Drosophila melanogaster: one gene and its partner. The protein of the gene in region 1 interacts with the protein of each later gene in a pairwise test. Each region holds a gene or a part of one and is shown in the gene's direction. Other genes may lie near its edges.

Region 1 (6,421 bases):
TCTGTAAATTTGACGTCTATGGTCGCTGTGGCTTCGATCTGTTTGTCTGAAAGATTAACGCCTTTTGGCAACCGTAACGCGGCAGTCTTCGGCTGATATGCAAAATTGCTTACAAGATCACTTAGTCCCCTTATTTCTTGGGATTCGGTCAAAGCACCAATTATGTAATTAGACACGTTTGGCGTCTCGGCATCGATTTGATCGCCCACAACTAATGCATCGCAGATCGGTTAACTTTCTAATGCTAATGGGAAATTTGAAAACTTTTCCATGGAACTACGTATATAAAATAAACAAGAAGTGATCACGAGCTGGATGAGTCATCAAACTGATGGTGGTAATAACAAATGCAATTATGAATGGTTGATTAACTGATCATAAGGAATACATGATCATTAGAGAGCGGTGATCATAAGTACACGAGAGAATGTATGTATGCTGCAAACTAATATATACTTTTCATATGTCAGTCTGACGGTCAGCGAAACAGATCACTGAGGCACATTTCAGTTGAGCCCGATCTAATTAAGATCACAATCGCCATCCATGGAGGTGATCAATTGCGCAGATCAAAGATCAACAGAGATCGGCGGAATAACAGAATGACAACGCTTGATTGGACGTGGATTTCCTGCGAGCGAGTGCAGCTGCCGGCGATCGCGGTCAGAAGAACCTCATAAAATAACAACCAGATCACCGAACCTTTCCAGATTGACCCAATTTCAGAGAACCGGCTCGAGAAGCGGCCGAGCTTGGGAGGCTGGGCGTCGAATGGAGGGCATCGAAGGTGTTAAAAAAACACACACACACACAACCAGTTCCAGATCCGAGACATTCTAGATGGCTATCGCTGGGAAGGGTACGACCACAGCCACATCAGTTTGCATAAAATTTCACCAAATATAATATAGTATGAGTACCAAAAAGTTGGCGTACTTTCGTTCGGACCTCGAGACATCGCGAAGTGTAAACAAATCTCGAGAAGATGTGGAACTCTTTGAAAGAGCTGCAGTGGGAAGAAAACCGGTAAGCCCCTAAAGAATTCCCCGCCGAGTGGCTAAGACTGGTACTTAAGCACCGCTCGCCAGAAGATGCGATCAGTTGTTGTGGAGTCGAGCAGCTGACCAGATCAACATGAGGCCATACCAAGTAGTTTGCATCGTAGGTAAGTCTCGCATATCGAAGCTGACCAGTTCTGGAAGTCCCATAATTAACTGGTATGCGCCCATTTCCTTTTTAGCAGTAGCAGCTCTGCTGCTTTTGGAGGCGATTCCCGCGGATGCAAAGCGGCGCAAGCACAAGGGCTCCGATCATCACTATGAAAAGTCTGATCCCCACAAGACCAAGACAAAGACCAAGTGGTCTAGCTCCACGGATTTGGCTGGAAACACTCCAATTTCCACCGAAGAGCACGGCTACTATGTAAAGCGCACCTTTGCGGCTCCCGGTGAGATTGGAGCCGCACAGAAGCGTCTAAGTCCCCCCTATTTGGCCATTCCCATCGCCTGGTTCAGCTGTGAGTCGGGCCAGAAGAATTGCCAGTCTTCCAATTCCGCGGCTATCAACAGTGCCGCGCAGTCCTTGAGCGAGGGCTATCTGTGCGACGATGATTGCGATGAACTGTACGAGCCCATCTGCGGCAGGACCACCTCAGAGGTGGCCGTTTTCTACAACAAGTGCAAGTTGGGTGTAGCCAAGTGCCGATCCCACGGTCTTTGGACGGACTTCGCCTATGCCGAGTGCCAGGCGAAATATCCGCAGGAAACTGCCTATGCCGACAAGAAGTTCCGGTCATCGCCTTATTTCCGGGATGCGGCCATCGTGGAGCAATTGAAGCTGGAGGAGGAGAAGCGTAAGCAGGAGGAGGAACAACACAAGCTGGAGAAGGAGCAAAAGAAGAAGGAGAAGGCTGAGAAAAATAAGAACGAGAAGGACAGCAGCGAAAGCAGCGAGGAGAAGGATGACCAAAAGGAAAACAAGCAGAAGGATCCCCTTTCCCTAATGCCACAGAAGAAAGTGGAATCCACCCAGAAGCCAGTGCCAGTTCCTATTCAAGTAGCAGTTCCAAAACCAGTTTCAGTTTTGGAGCCTGCAAAGACGACCGAGGACATCGCTATGCCGCCTATGCCACTGAAGGACACTCCCACGCCCAAACCTCTGGAGATCGCGCCCCTTCACCAGCAGACCCAACCCAAGGGCAAGGACATTGATAGGCTCAAGTACCAAGTAGCTTAGAAAGCAATGGCTACACAAATCTCACCTAATTATAGTATTTATTTAATTTATTACAACAAATAAAATTCTAAACAACGATAATCATCTATATTTGATAAACAAAATGGGTTTTTTTTAAATACACGCTTTGTAGTTTAAACGTGTATTGGACTACAATTTTTATGGCTAACTTTAATGGTAACCCGACTTTTATATTGTCATAAAAATAAAAATCATAAGATCTGCTTAGCACTTTTATGTAGATATTTTATATGGGATCGAAACGCACTTTTATTTTCCCAAAGTCAGTAAGAGTGTCTTCTTAGTTCTTATGACTCCAGACCAGTTACACTATTTTTCAGATCCCTTGAGCATTTAATTACTGAAATAGGTGCATTGTACATTTACATAGCTATATCTTTGGAAAGACATTAATCGGGATCCAACATTTCTGTGACAAACTAGTATAACTCGAAGCAGATTTAGTAGCAAGGGGAAAGGTGTGTGCAAAATTTGTAATGGGAATGAATACACCTATGATTCTTAACGAACTCATTCTTGATAATTCTTTATGGCCTCTAAAGAACTTTGTGTGTTAAAGTAACGGGTATAACAACTTCAACTTTACATATATATCTTTCAATCAGATAATTTTCAAAACTTTCTTAGAGGCAAATTCACCTCTTTGTAATTAAATTGAGAAGAATTCTAAGGCGATGCAGTTGCATTGAATCAAGTGCATTGACCCCCAAAACAAGTTCTATAAACTGATTGATATCTGAAGCTTGAAAGGGCCATCATCCATTGCCAGGCACTAAACCTAAAAACTAATTGGGCGTGGGATGGACAATGCAACAGGTTGCGGCTGGGTTGCCTATAAAAGCAGCGGGATTTGTGTCACTTGTCACAGAAGTTGACCAACTGCAATGGGAGCCACTAGTGTCGGAGTTCCAGTCTGGAAGATTCAGCTACTGATTCTGCTGAGTGCAGGTGAGAATATTCTAAAAGTTGTAGCTTGTGGTATTTAGTTTTCCTCTCCTAGTTGTTCTCACCATTCAAGCTGCTCCTGTCGAGGTAACCGAAGGAGTGACCCAACCCCCAGCCGAGAAGCTGCAAACGGAGTCTCGTTCCCGTAAAGATGAAGAGCTGGAACTAGAAGAAGACCTGGATGGACGTAATGCCTATATCAACAATCAGTTTGTGCCAAGCGAACCTGCAGAAGTCCTAGAGGATGTGCAGAATACGCCGCTCTACGAGATCCTTCAAAAGCAGATGGAACAAGTGTTGGCCTCATCGGCTCCCAATGACCCTGTCTACGAGCAGCACCGCGAGAAGCAGGATCGTCGCGATCAGAAACCACCACACCAGCCACCGTACTTCTCCGGCGGAGATCGAGATGGTGATCTACAGGATGACTACGAGGACGAGGAGGATCAGACGGATCAGGGTTATCCGTCGGACCCCGAGAAACCGGACGCCGTGTCAGATGCTCCCGAGGATGAGGACCCAGGCTACCAGGCACCTTCGTTGAGCCTTCCAACCACCACCACTCGCAAACCGTACAGACGACGCAGCACAACCACTTTTCAGCCACGAACCACCAGGACAAGAACCACTGCTCAGCCCAGGATCTCGGAAAGTCCATTGAACCAAACCAGCACCACAGAGCAATCACCAAATGTGACCACCAGCACTCCACGGCCCAAGATTGGTTCCAGCACCAAACCCAAGGCAAATCCTCAGCCGGGAAACAGCCTGCCAAGTGACCCGCAGGTTTACCAGCACAAGCGTCGCATCATCTTCAAGACCATCTCAACGGGCTCGCAATTCGTCAACTCGCCAATTGGCGACCTAATGATCAAGTTCTCAATCGGATTTGCCAAGCCAACCACTCCGGGTGGAGCTACCAGCACTGCGGGTTCACATAGTTCGTCCAGTGAGGCTTTACGTGCTCTTTCGCAAAACTTAATTCGAAATTTTGAACTTCAAAAACTAAGAAGAGCCAATAAAGTGCAAAAATATTAGATATACATTATTAACGAAAACAAAACCACGGGTTTTCAATTGGATTCATGTTTTAATGTACTAACAACAATGGATTCGAAGACTTTATGAGTAGTAGCTATATTTCGAACAAAAGATATTTTTAAAACCCTCAGTTGAAGAACTTAATTCTATTCTATTACCTCAAATTCAAAAATTTCGAATTGTGTTATAGAAATTTCATGAATATTTTAATCACCACAACAGCAATTGCTTGTGCAATAAGCAAAACATTCGATTTGGAGCGAGGTCTGCTAAAATTATTCCAGCGGGAACCAATCATTGATCTCCAAATTGTTGAAAACAACTTGAGATGACGCCATAAGAATATACATAACCAAATCAGAAAATGTATTCCGTCACGTACGAGAATTTCGAGACAATGACAATAGATCCACATGTACGGTTCGTGTTTAGTAGAGTTAATACACAAAATGGAGGTGAACAGTCACAGTAACAACAACGTCATAATCCGTAAAGGAACATGGTTAGCTACCTTAGAGTAAATATAATCTAACTGCCTTGGCTATTCGGTGCCCAATCGTTGTTTTCATCGAGTCTCATAGGTTGGTTAGTTCGCTAGGCGATATGTAAGCTTCATAAAAATATATCTATGGAGGGTATTTCACCGGCGTTATGAAATTATAAATGGTTAACAATTGTACATATATACCTGTCTAAAAGGCTTTATGAGGATGGGTTTATGTTTAACACGGAATTCAATCTTGTGAGGCAGCCTTTGACATTTTTAGCTATTGAATGCAGCTAATCCTAATCCAAAACAGCATTAGCGCACGGGCCAGAATCTCTGGGCCAGGAGAGGAATGGTGACGCCGGTGACGATGCTGGAAATCAGGTTGACACTATGGTTGTCCAGGATGCGCAGTCCGCTTACGTGGCGCACTCCCTTTCCAGGTGTATCCACAATCTTGCCTTCCTCATTGATGCCCGAGAACTGCAGCAGACCACCTAGGACAGAGTCCAAAAGGGACCCAAAAAGTCCAGCGATGCCACCGAAGGCGATGATTGGCCATTGTGGTGGGCTAATCAGAAGCATTTTGGCCTCAACCGTGTAACGAACGGTGACGAAATAGCCAAAGCCGACGAGCAGACCGCCGAGCAGACTCACCGCGACGCCGAGCAACGAAACCCCACCATTGGTACCGCGCGGCACTCTGCGCCAGGTGATGATAGAAACTGGATCGCGTTGCGACAGCACGGATCCTAGTTCACTGGACCAGGTGTCGCCATTGCAACAGGCAAACGCACTCATAACGGCCACACCCAGCCAGCTGGATCGGTATTCTCGTGCGAAGTCCACCGCCCGCTCGCCACTACCGCAGTCCAGCAGATAAAGCAATGCAAGCTGGGCGGCCATGCCTCCGTTGCAGAGTACCTGTATCCAGTTTCGTTGGCCTTCGCCCTCGCGAAAATCGCTCTCGAAACGGCGTTTCATGTGCGCGCGGAACTTGGTGGCCCGCGATGAGCTGAAGAAGAACACCACCAAGCTGGCGAAGAACGGATGGCTGGCGATGGAGAGAATGAAGGCCACCAGAATGCCCAGCGCAGCTCCAGATCGGTTGACGCTCCTCCGGCGCAGAGCCACAGTCATCAGGGCCAAGGGCGCCAGTGTGGAGAAGAGCCAGCGCACCGGCGGAATCACCCGGGACTCTGTCGGATAACCTTTTGGCATTAGTTGACCCCAGGTAACGTTCGCACTGGAATCCATATAGCTCACCCTCAAAGTCACTGCTCCAGAACTTGGACAGCGCCACATTGCCCAGCCACATGAACAGCGAGATCGGCACGGACAGTCCGCAGAAGAGCACTGGCATCCAGTCACGCATCTTGACGTTTTATGGGCGCTGTTTATCGCCACTTTCTCCGGCGGGTTTTGTTTATTTATATGAGCCAGTGATGCCGTTGACTAGTGTTTGAAAATACCAAATGTTAATGTGTCAAATGTATGGCAACCTGGCTTTTAGTTCAACGAAGACTCAACCCATTCCGTTTTTAAATGAAGATTCAATTTTAAATAAATTATTTTGAAAAATAATTTTGTTTCTATGTAAAAATTGTTTATTACTTTTATTCTTATATATATTATAAATTCGAGTGTGCTCTCAGTATTTAAAATCTTGTTTAGGCATTTAAATGAATTCAA
Region 2 (6,982 bases), on another chromosome or scaffold:
ATGATTTTGTTACTTTCAAGCCAGCAATTTGAATATTCTTAAATGCCTTTTTCAAAAATGGGGTATAACATTTTATTATTTTGAAAAGGCGTAAATATTTTAGTAAATTAATCATCGGTGACCATATGGGGGAAATTAAAAAAAAACTTCTACTTGATTTTTATATTTTATTGCCTTATACAAAATTCCCTCTCAAATCCATTAAATGATAAGCGATAATATTTGACGATCATACATTTATTTAGAAACAGACATCTTTAAGCTTAGACTTGCAGAACAAGTCGCAGCAATTCGGACGCGTAATGGTGTAGACATTGATGTCCAGGCACTCCAGGCGGTTTCGATTGGGCAATCTGAACAAATCTGCAAGAAAGTGTGATTGTGAATGGATTGTGAATTTCATCAAGGATATGAGTGTCCGAACTTACTTAGCTTATTTCTCTTGTCGCGCACTTCATTGATGTCGTCGATTTCTTCAGGACATGTAAGTACCCAGTTGCAGGGCTTGTCCCACTCGGAGCAGGTGTAGTCGCAAACGCATTGATACTGAAGTTTTCCCTTGCACCGGGGATTCGAGTTCGTGACCACTGGGCACAGGTTTTGGGAGCACTGGGCTGAGACCAGATCGGTGACAACAGCGAGGAGCAGCAGGCTCAGCAGAATCTTGGCAACCATTTCGAAGACTTCTCAGATAAAGTGCCAGGAGGGTCGAGACTTTTATAGTCTATCTCAGGTTAAGGAGGTCTATTTTTGCTTTAGCAATTGTGTAAATATATGGCGATATGTGGGTATAAAAGCAGTCTGCTTTTTGGTTGATCATTTGAGTGACCTATTAACCAACATGAGAGCAATACGAGTTCTGCTGATTTTCCAACTGCTGGCTTGTCTAATGGCCGTAATATCGGGCTGCAACCAGGGGTCCTGCCATCCGTTCATTGGCCTGAACAAGTGCAATGGTAATGGCTATAAGGAGCCCAAACTTCCACCTCGGGATAACGCCTGCTGCGGTGCCCATTGCGTCTACAATGGTCCAAGTTGTCAAAATCCCGGTCCCTGCGACAGCAAACCCGTGAATCGTTGCATCCTGGACTCACATTGTGGCAAAGGCGTAGCCTTCTACTTCGTATGCAAGTCAGATTGTGAACTGATAAAGGAAAATGAAGCTCGCCAGGCAGCTGGATATGCCCGTGAGTATTTGTATAATTTTATGAGTTCGTTTGCTTACTTATATAACTTATTTTTCCATGTGGTTAGGTCTTCTTTCATTTTCGTGGGGCAAGCAGAAATGCGAGGGCATGAATTACAAATGCGGCATCAATTGTTGCTGTCGTGAGTATTGTCCTAAACGGTTTTGTAAATTTTAATGCGGTCAATAAAGGGTATTAAAAAAAATTAAATCCCTTGTATTCGAATAAAAGGAAGCAAGTAAAGGGATTTGTGTGTCACATTCAACTTGGCGCTCAAATTCAAGTAACACACACATGCAGTGTTGTCAAATGAGCAAGGTTCCGAAATGTGTGTTCAGTCTTGGATTCTCCCATGCAATCAACATTAGTTGCCAATTTGCCGAGTCATACCAACAGCAGTCGTGGCCGAGCGGTTAAGGCGTCTGACTAGAAATCAGATTCCCTCTGGGAGCGTAGGTTCGAATCCTACCGACTGCGAGAAGGTTTACGGATTTTCTTTATTTTTCAACATTCTCTATTCTATTCTCTATTTTTTCCTCTCAGAAACTGGTTAAATTATTATAATAATAATAGATACATGTGTGCTGTTTGTTTACAACTCGATTAGTTTTTCACTCTCTACGTACACAGAACACCCTATTCCCCTTACATTTCACTGTTGCGCGTGCAGTCGTATGTCATCGATAACCGATTATAAAACATCTGATGTATTTTTATCGAAGGAAAAAAGGACCTATATCTTATTTTGAAAATAAAAATTTGTAGGAGAAATGAGAGCGTAAGTATCTGCTTTTGTAAATGTGCGTGTCCTAAAGTCCCATCTCGTCATTTTAGCGCACTCAAAGACAGATGCCGAGTCTGCCTTGGGGTCAGTGAAAACGTGGTAAACATTTTCGAGGCAAAACAAGACCTGCTGGTTTCAATAGCACAAGTGATCTCTGAATGCACGGACTGTGACATTAAAGAAGGGGACGATCTGTCGGAGTTAATTTGTGCATCCTGTTTGGAGGATGCCCAGAGTGCATTCGATATCATCAGAAAATACGAGCGCAGCTACATCACCTTTTGTGAGGCATACGAAGCGGTACTTGAAGAGGATTCCCTAGAAGGAGAGGTGTACACAATATCGGACAGCGACAGTGGGACGTCGTCGCACGATACCAATGGAAACCAAAAGTACATAAATGCCGATGAAATCTATGAGATATCAGAAGATGAATGTGATCAAACCGTAGATGCAAAGGGAGAAGACTTCAATAATAGCGTCGACGATAGTGTTCATTCGAAGAATCAGCAACATGATGAAAAGGAACCCAAAGAAAGTGGTACATTGGACAAGGATGTCCAGGACGCCCCCCGAAATGAAAGTGTTGCACCTGATCATCAGCAAGGTGAGACTGACACCGAAATTGGCTTTGGACGGCAGTGAATGTGTTCGGAGCGGTGCTCGGATGGCCTACAAGTGCTCCCACTGCAGTAAGTCCTTTCCACATCGATCCAGGTTCGAGGAGCACAACCGCGTCCACACGGGAGAACGACCATTCAAATGCCCCAGCTGCCCGATGACCTTCCGACTGAAATCCTTTCTTAAAAGGCACAGCGCCCTGCATTTGGAAGAACGACCTTACCCGTGCGACATCTGTGCCAAGACTTTTGCTGACAAAAGTAACCTGCGCCAGCGCAAGAAGACACACTCCGACATTCGACCCTTCGACTGCCCTTCCTGTCTGAGTTCCTTCCGATTGAAAAGCCACCTGGACCGCCACACCATGAGTCACACGGGCGAGCGGCCATTTAAGTGTGATCACTGCGGTAAAGACTTCACGCTACGCTGTAACCTCGTCAAGCATTTAAGGACCCACACCAGGGAACGTCCCTTCAAATGCTCAATATGAAAATCGGCCTTTACGAACTTATCGAGCCCCATTGCATGAACCATCGAATGAACTACCTTTCCAGTGTGATCGGTGCGACAAGCGGTTTGTGGATAGGGTTCGTCCTGACTGCCAGTCCCGTTTCTCGACGTCATCCGACCTCCACCAGCCCGGACTGGTACACAAGGCAAAAGCAAAGATACTAGAATAATTCTAGTGTCTTTGGCAAAAGGACCTTTTACGTGAAGTGTGAGGGTTGCGGTTTAGTCCTTAAGAATATGATTCTTCTTCGAAGGCATGCTAAGAATTACGGCAAGGCGTTAAAAATGTAATCTTATCTTAGCCAAATACGTACCAAATACGTATTTATTATAATTTTGTTATTTTTCATTCAAGAAACGTTTTCAAGCTCGATAACAGTTCGGTAACGTAACATACATATTCTTTTGCGCCTAACAGCCCACTGTTGTGGGAACAGGGTGATCATTCCACTAGCAAACTGAATGCTATGCCAAAATGGTAAACAAACTATTCCCTATAATAAATAAACCGTCTCATTTAATTTGAAAATATTTAAAATACCACTACATATTTATTTGTAATTACCTTTGATCGATTTGTATAGGCGGCCAAGGTTTATTAAAATACAGGGTAATGGAGAACAAGTGTCGAGTTTGCCTGGCAAGCTCAAAAAACATGGTGAACATTTTCGAGGAAAGGCAGGATCTTCCAGTTTCAATAGCCCATATGATAATTGAATGCACCGGCTTCAAAGTTGAAAAAGGGGACTCATTACCGCACTCAATATGCCCACCATGTGTGAAGGATGCCCACAATGCGTTTACGATCATAAAAACCTACGAACGCAGCTACCAGGTCTTCTATGAAGTGCAGGACACGGTTCTCGAGGAAGAACTCTCGGAGGATGTAATCATCGAGCTATCAGACTCCGACGAGGTAATACTCATCGATGAACAAGAGGAGAAAGTTCATTTGAGTGAAAACAAGGCACCTACGAATGAAGTCAGCACCCAGGAAGAATCTAAAACTGCTCAATCCGACAATGTTTCCGAGGATAAGGGTCACATCTGCACACAGTGTCACATGTCCTTTCGGAGACCTGGTCTCCTAGAGCTACACATCCTGCGACACCACACAACGGACGGACCCCGTCCAATGTCCTCCACCAGCGAGCACGCGGTCAAAGAAGAGTTGAGGACGAAAGCCAGACAGCTTTCAAGGAATTCTACGCACACCTGCCGCCTTTGTAACAAGACCTTCTGCAGCAAAGCAAGCTGTGTCCGCCACCAAAAGACCCACACGGGGGAAAAACCCTTCGCCTGCGAAATTTGCCAAAAGCCATTTGCGGATCTTGCTTCCGTCAAAAGACATCTAAGGACTCACACGGGAGAAAGACCATTCAAGTGCCTTACCTGCCAGTCGGCCTTCTCGGATGGATCTGCTCTAAGGCAGCACATTCGAATTCACACAGGAGAAAGACCGTACAAGTGCGATATGTGCGATAAGTTCTTCCGGGAGCGGTCAGATGCTCGGAAGCACATGATGAGCCACACCGCAGAAAAGCGATTCAAGTGTTCCCAATGCGAGCGGCGTTTCCGCCAACCAAAAGGTCTGCGTAGGCATGTAAAGCTTTGCCATACGGACAAGGTCGAGAACGCGGCTATATCTTAAGCTTCATTTAGTTTAAACATTTAAAAATTAATTATTTTTTTTAGGTATAAGTATAAAACGCTCAATAAAAATGAATACCATCTGGGATATATTTAAAAAATCTTAATATTCCAATAGAATATTTATATGAAAGCAAACACACAAATCTAGCACAACATTCTTTGAAACATTATGAAAAAGGATCAAATTAATAACCTTAAAATTGTTCTTTTGGGCAAAAAGTTAAAAACAAAAAAGTAACTCTTGTCATCGCAGTCGGTAGGATTCGAACCTACGCTCCCAGAGGGAATCTGATTTCTAGTCAGACGCCTTAACCGCTCGGCCACGACTGCTCTTGCAACTAGTGATGTCAAATCCAGTGTTAGCTTAGGTGTAGAGAAACTGTAACCGATTTAACAGCGAAATTTGAAATATGGAAAAATCAAAAGTGAAATAAAGGGAATATTTTTGTCCAACTGTTATTTATTTGTTTCATTATACATTTATAAATACATTTACAAATACATTTATAAATATTCTCCACTCCACTACATTGGTAAACAAATCTGACTATCAACTTGGTAAAGTTCAGAAAAAGTATACAAAAATGAAGCCGACGTTGGGCAAACTTTCATTTGGTTTCTCTTTGATTTCCGTGAAATGCATCATAGTACAAAATGAATAGTTCAAATCATATTCACACATACAAAACGAGGTCTACACTAAGGCAATATTCTTGCTATTTTATATGCTTGTGGTGCGGTCGAGGACTTATAATTTATAATTACTGTCATACATCGTATATTGTGTGCGGCGTGTGGTGTACATTTCTTGCAACTAGTGATGTCAAATCCAGTGTTAGCTTAGGTGTAGAGAAACTGTAACCGATTTAACAGCGAAATTTGAAATATGGAAAAATCAAAAGTGAAATAAAGGGAATATTTTTGTCCAACTGTTATTTATTTGTTTCAATATACATTTATAAATACATTTACAAATACATTTATAAATATTCTCCACTCCACTACATTGGTAAACAAATCTGACTATCAACTTGGTAAAGTTCAGAAAAAGTATACAAAAATGAAGCCGACGTTGGGCAAACTTTCATTTGGTTTCTCTTTGATTTCCGTGAAATGCATCATAGTACAAAATGAATAGTTCAAATCATATTCACACATACAAAACGAGGTCTACACTAAGGCAATATTCTTGCTATTTTATATGCTTGTGGTGCGGTCGAGGACTTATAATTTATAATTACTGTCATACATCGTATATTGTGTGCGGCGTGTGGTGTACATTTCACATATAAAAATGTACGTAATTAAAAACTGTTAGATCACAAAGGAAAATGCTAATAAATAGGAATTTGCTTAGACATAAGTACATGGATACATGTGGTCGCGTTAACTAACTAAGGTACGAGTTCAACTGATACATTGTATGTTTGGCTCTTCAAAAAGTCATTAAAAAGCATAAAAATCGTTCTCAAAAAACTACAATTTCTGTTTTAAATGCACTTTGCAAAAGTATACATCAATTTATGCTTGCGCGGCTGATAATTTATAATTGCTGCACAACGATATCATATGTTAGAACTATATGTATGGGGTCTTTCGGGCTCTCTTCCGTTCCGATGGTTCTTCAAAGATTTATATTCGACAGCGACAACCAATTTTGACACAGAAGCGTTAAATAGTCGTGTATGCGTGTGAAAATAGCAACCAGGCCTAAGGGGCCACCTTGCCGACTTCGTGCATCATGACCAAGGACCCAACCATCGCCACAAGCGTACGGTCCAGCCAAGTGACAGGGTTCGGGTACAGGAAGCCGCCCTCATAGAAGCCCAGATGACCGCCATGGGCCACCTCCACATAGGCGGTGTTTTGACGCGTCGCTGAGGGGAGAAAGATTAAGCAATAAGCAACGTGATAGCAAGCAAAGAACTTTCTACTTACTGGCATACTCCTTGATGGGATGCAGCAAATCCTCCGGGATCAAGGGATCATCCTTGGCGTTGATGAAGATCATTGGCTTCTTGATCGTATCGAAGTAAAACAGCGACGAGCTCCACTTGTACAACTCCTGGGTGGAGGGAAAGTTGTACACTCTCCGCGTGTAAGCCTCATCCAACTCGGGCAGAGTGGCAGCCGCGATGATTTCGCGCTCGTTGAGATTATGCCGAGCCTTGACCTCGTCGGACAGGAGGATATGTCGATGTCGCAGGATAATGCTCTTTACGTTCTC

The links.
Region 2: the proteins of CG14110 (region 1) and CG44002 interact in a two-hybrid assay, tested with the Drosophila melanogaster proteins (one large-scale study listed by BioGRID).

What each region holds. Positions count from the first base shown.
Region 1 is NT_037436.4:13,381,671-13,388,091, forward strand, and holds CG14110 (uncharacterized protein), read left to right. Parts: upstream 1-3,118; 5' UTR 3,119-3,140; coding exon 3,141-3,204; intron 3,205-3,256; coding exon 3,257-4,239; 3' UTR 4,240-4,255; downstream 4,256-6,421. Other genes in the region: ImpL1 (Ecdysone-inducible gene L1), read left to right, coding at 1,135-2,235; CG10171 (uncharacterized protein), read right to left, coding at 5,045-5,940, 5,996-6,104.
Region 2 is NT_033779.5:3,167,685-3,174,666, reverse strand, and holds CG44002 (uncharacterized protein), read left to right. Parts: upstream 1-3,574; 5' UTR 3,575-3,715; coding exon 3,716-4,753; 3' UTR 4,754-4,847; downstream 4,848-6,982. Other genes in the region: CG15404 (uncharacterized protein), read right to left, coding at 242-363, 429-675; CG31698 (uncharacterized protein), read left to right, coding at 842-1,187, 1,255-1,364; Hydr2 (alpha/beta hydrolase2), read right to left, coding at 6,466-6,632, 6,694-6,982.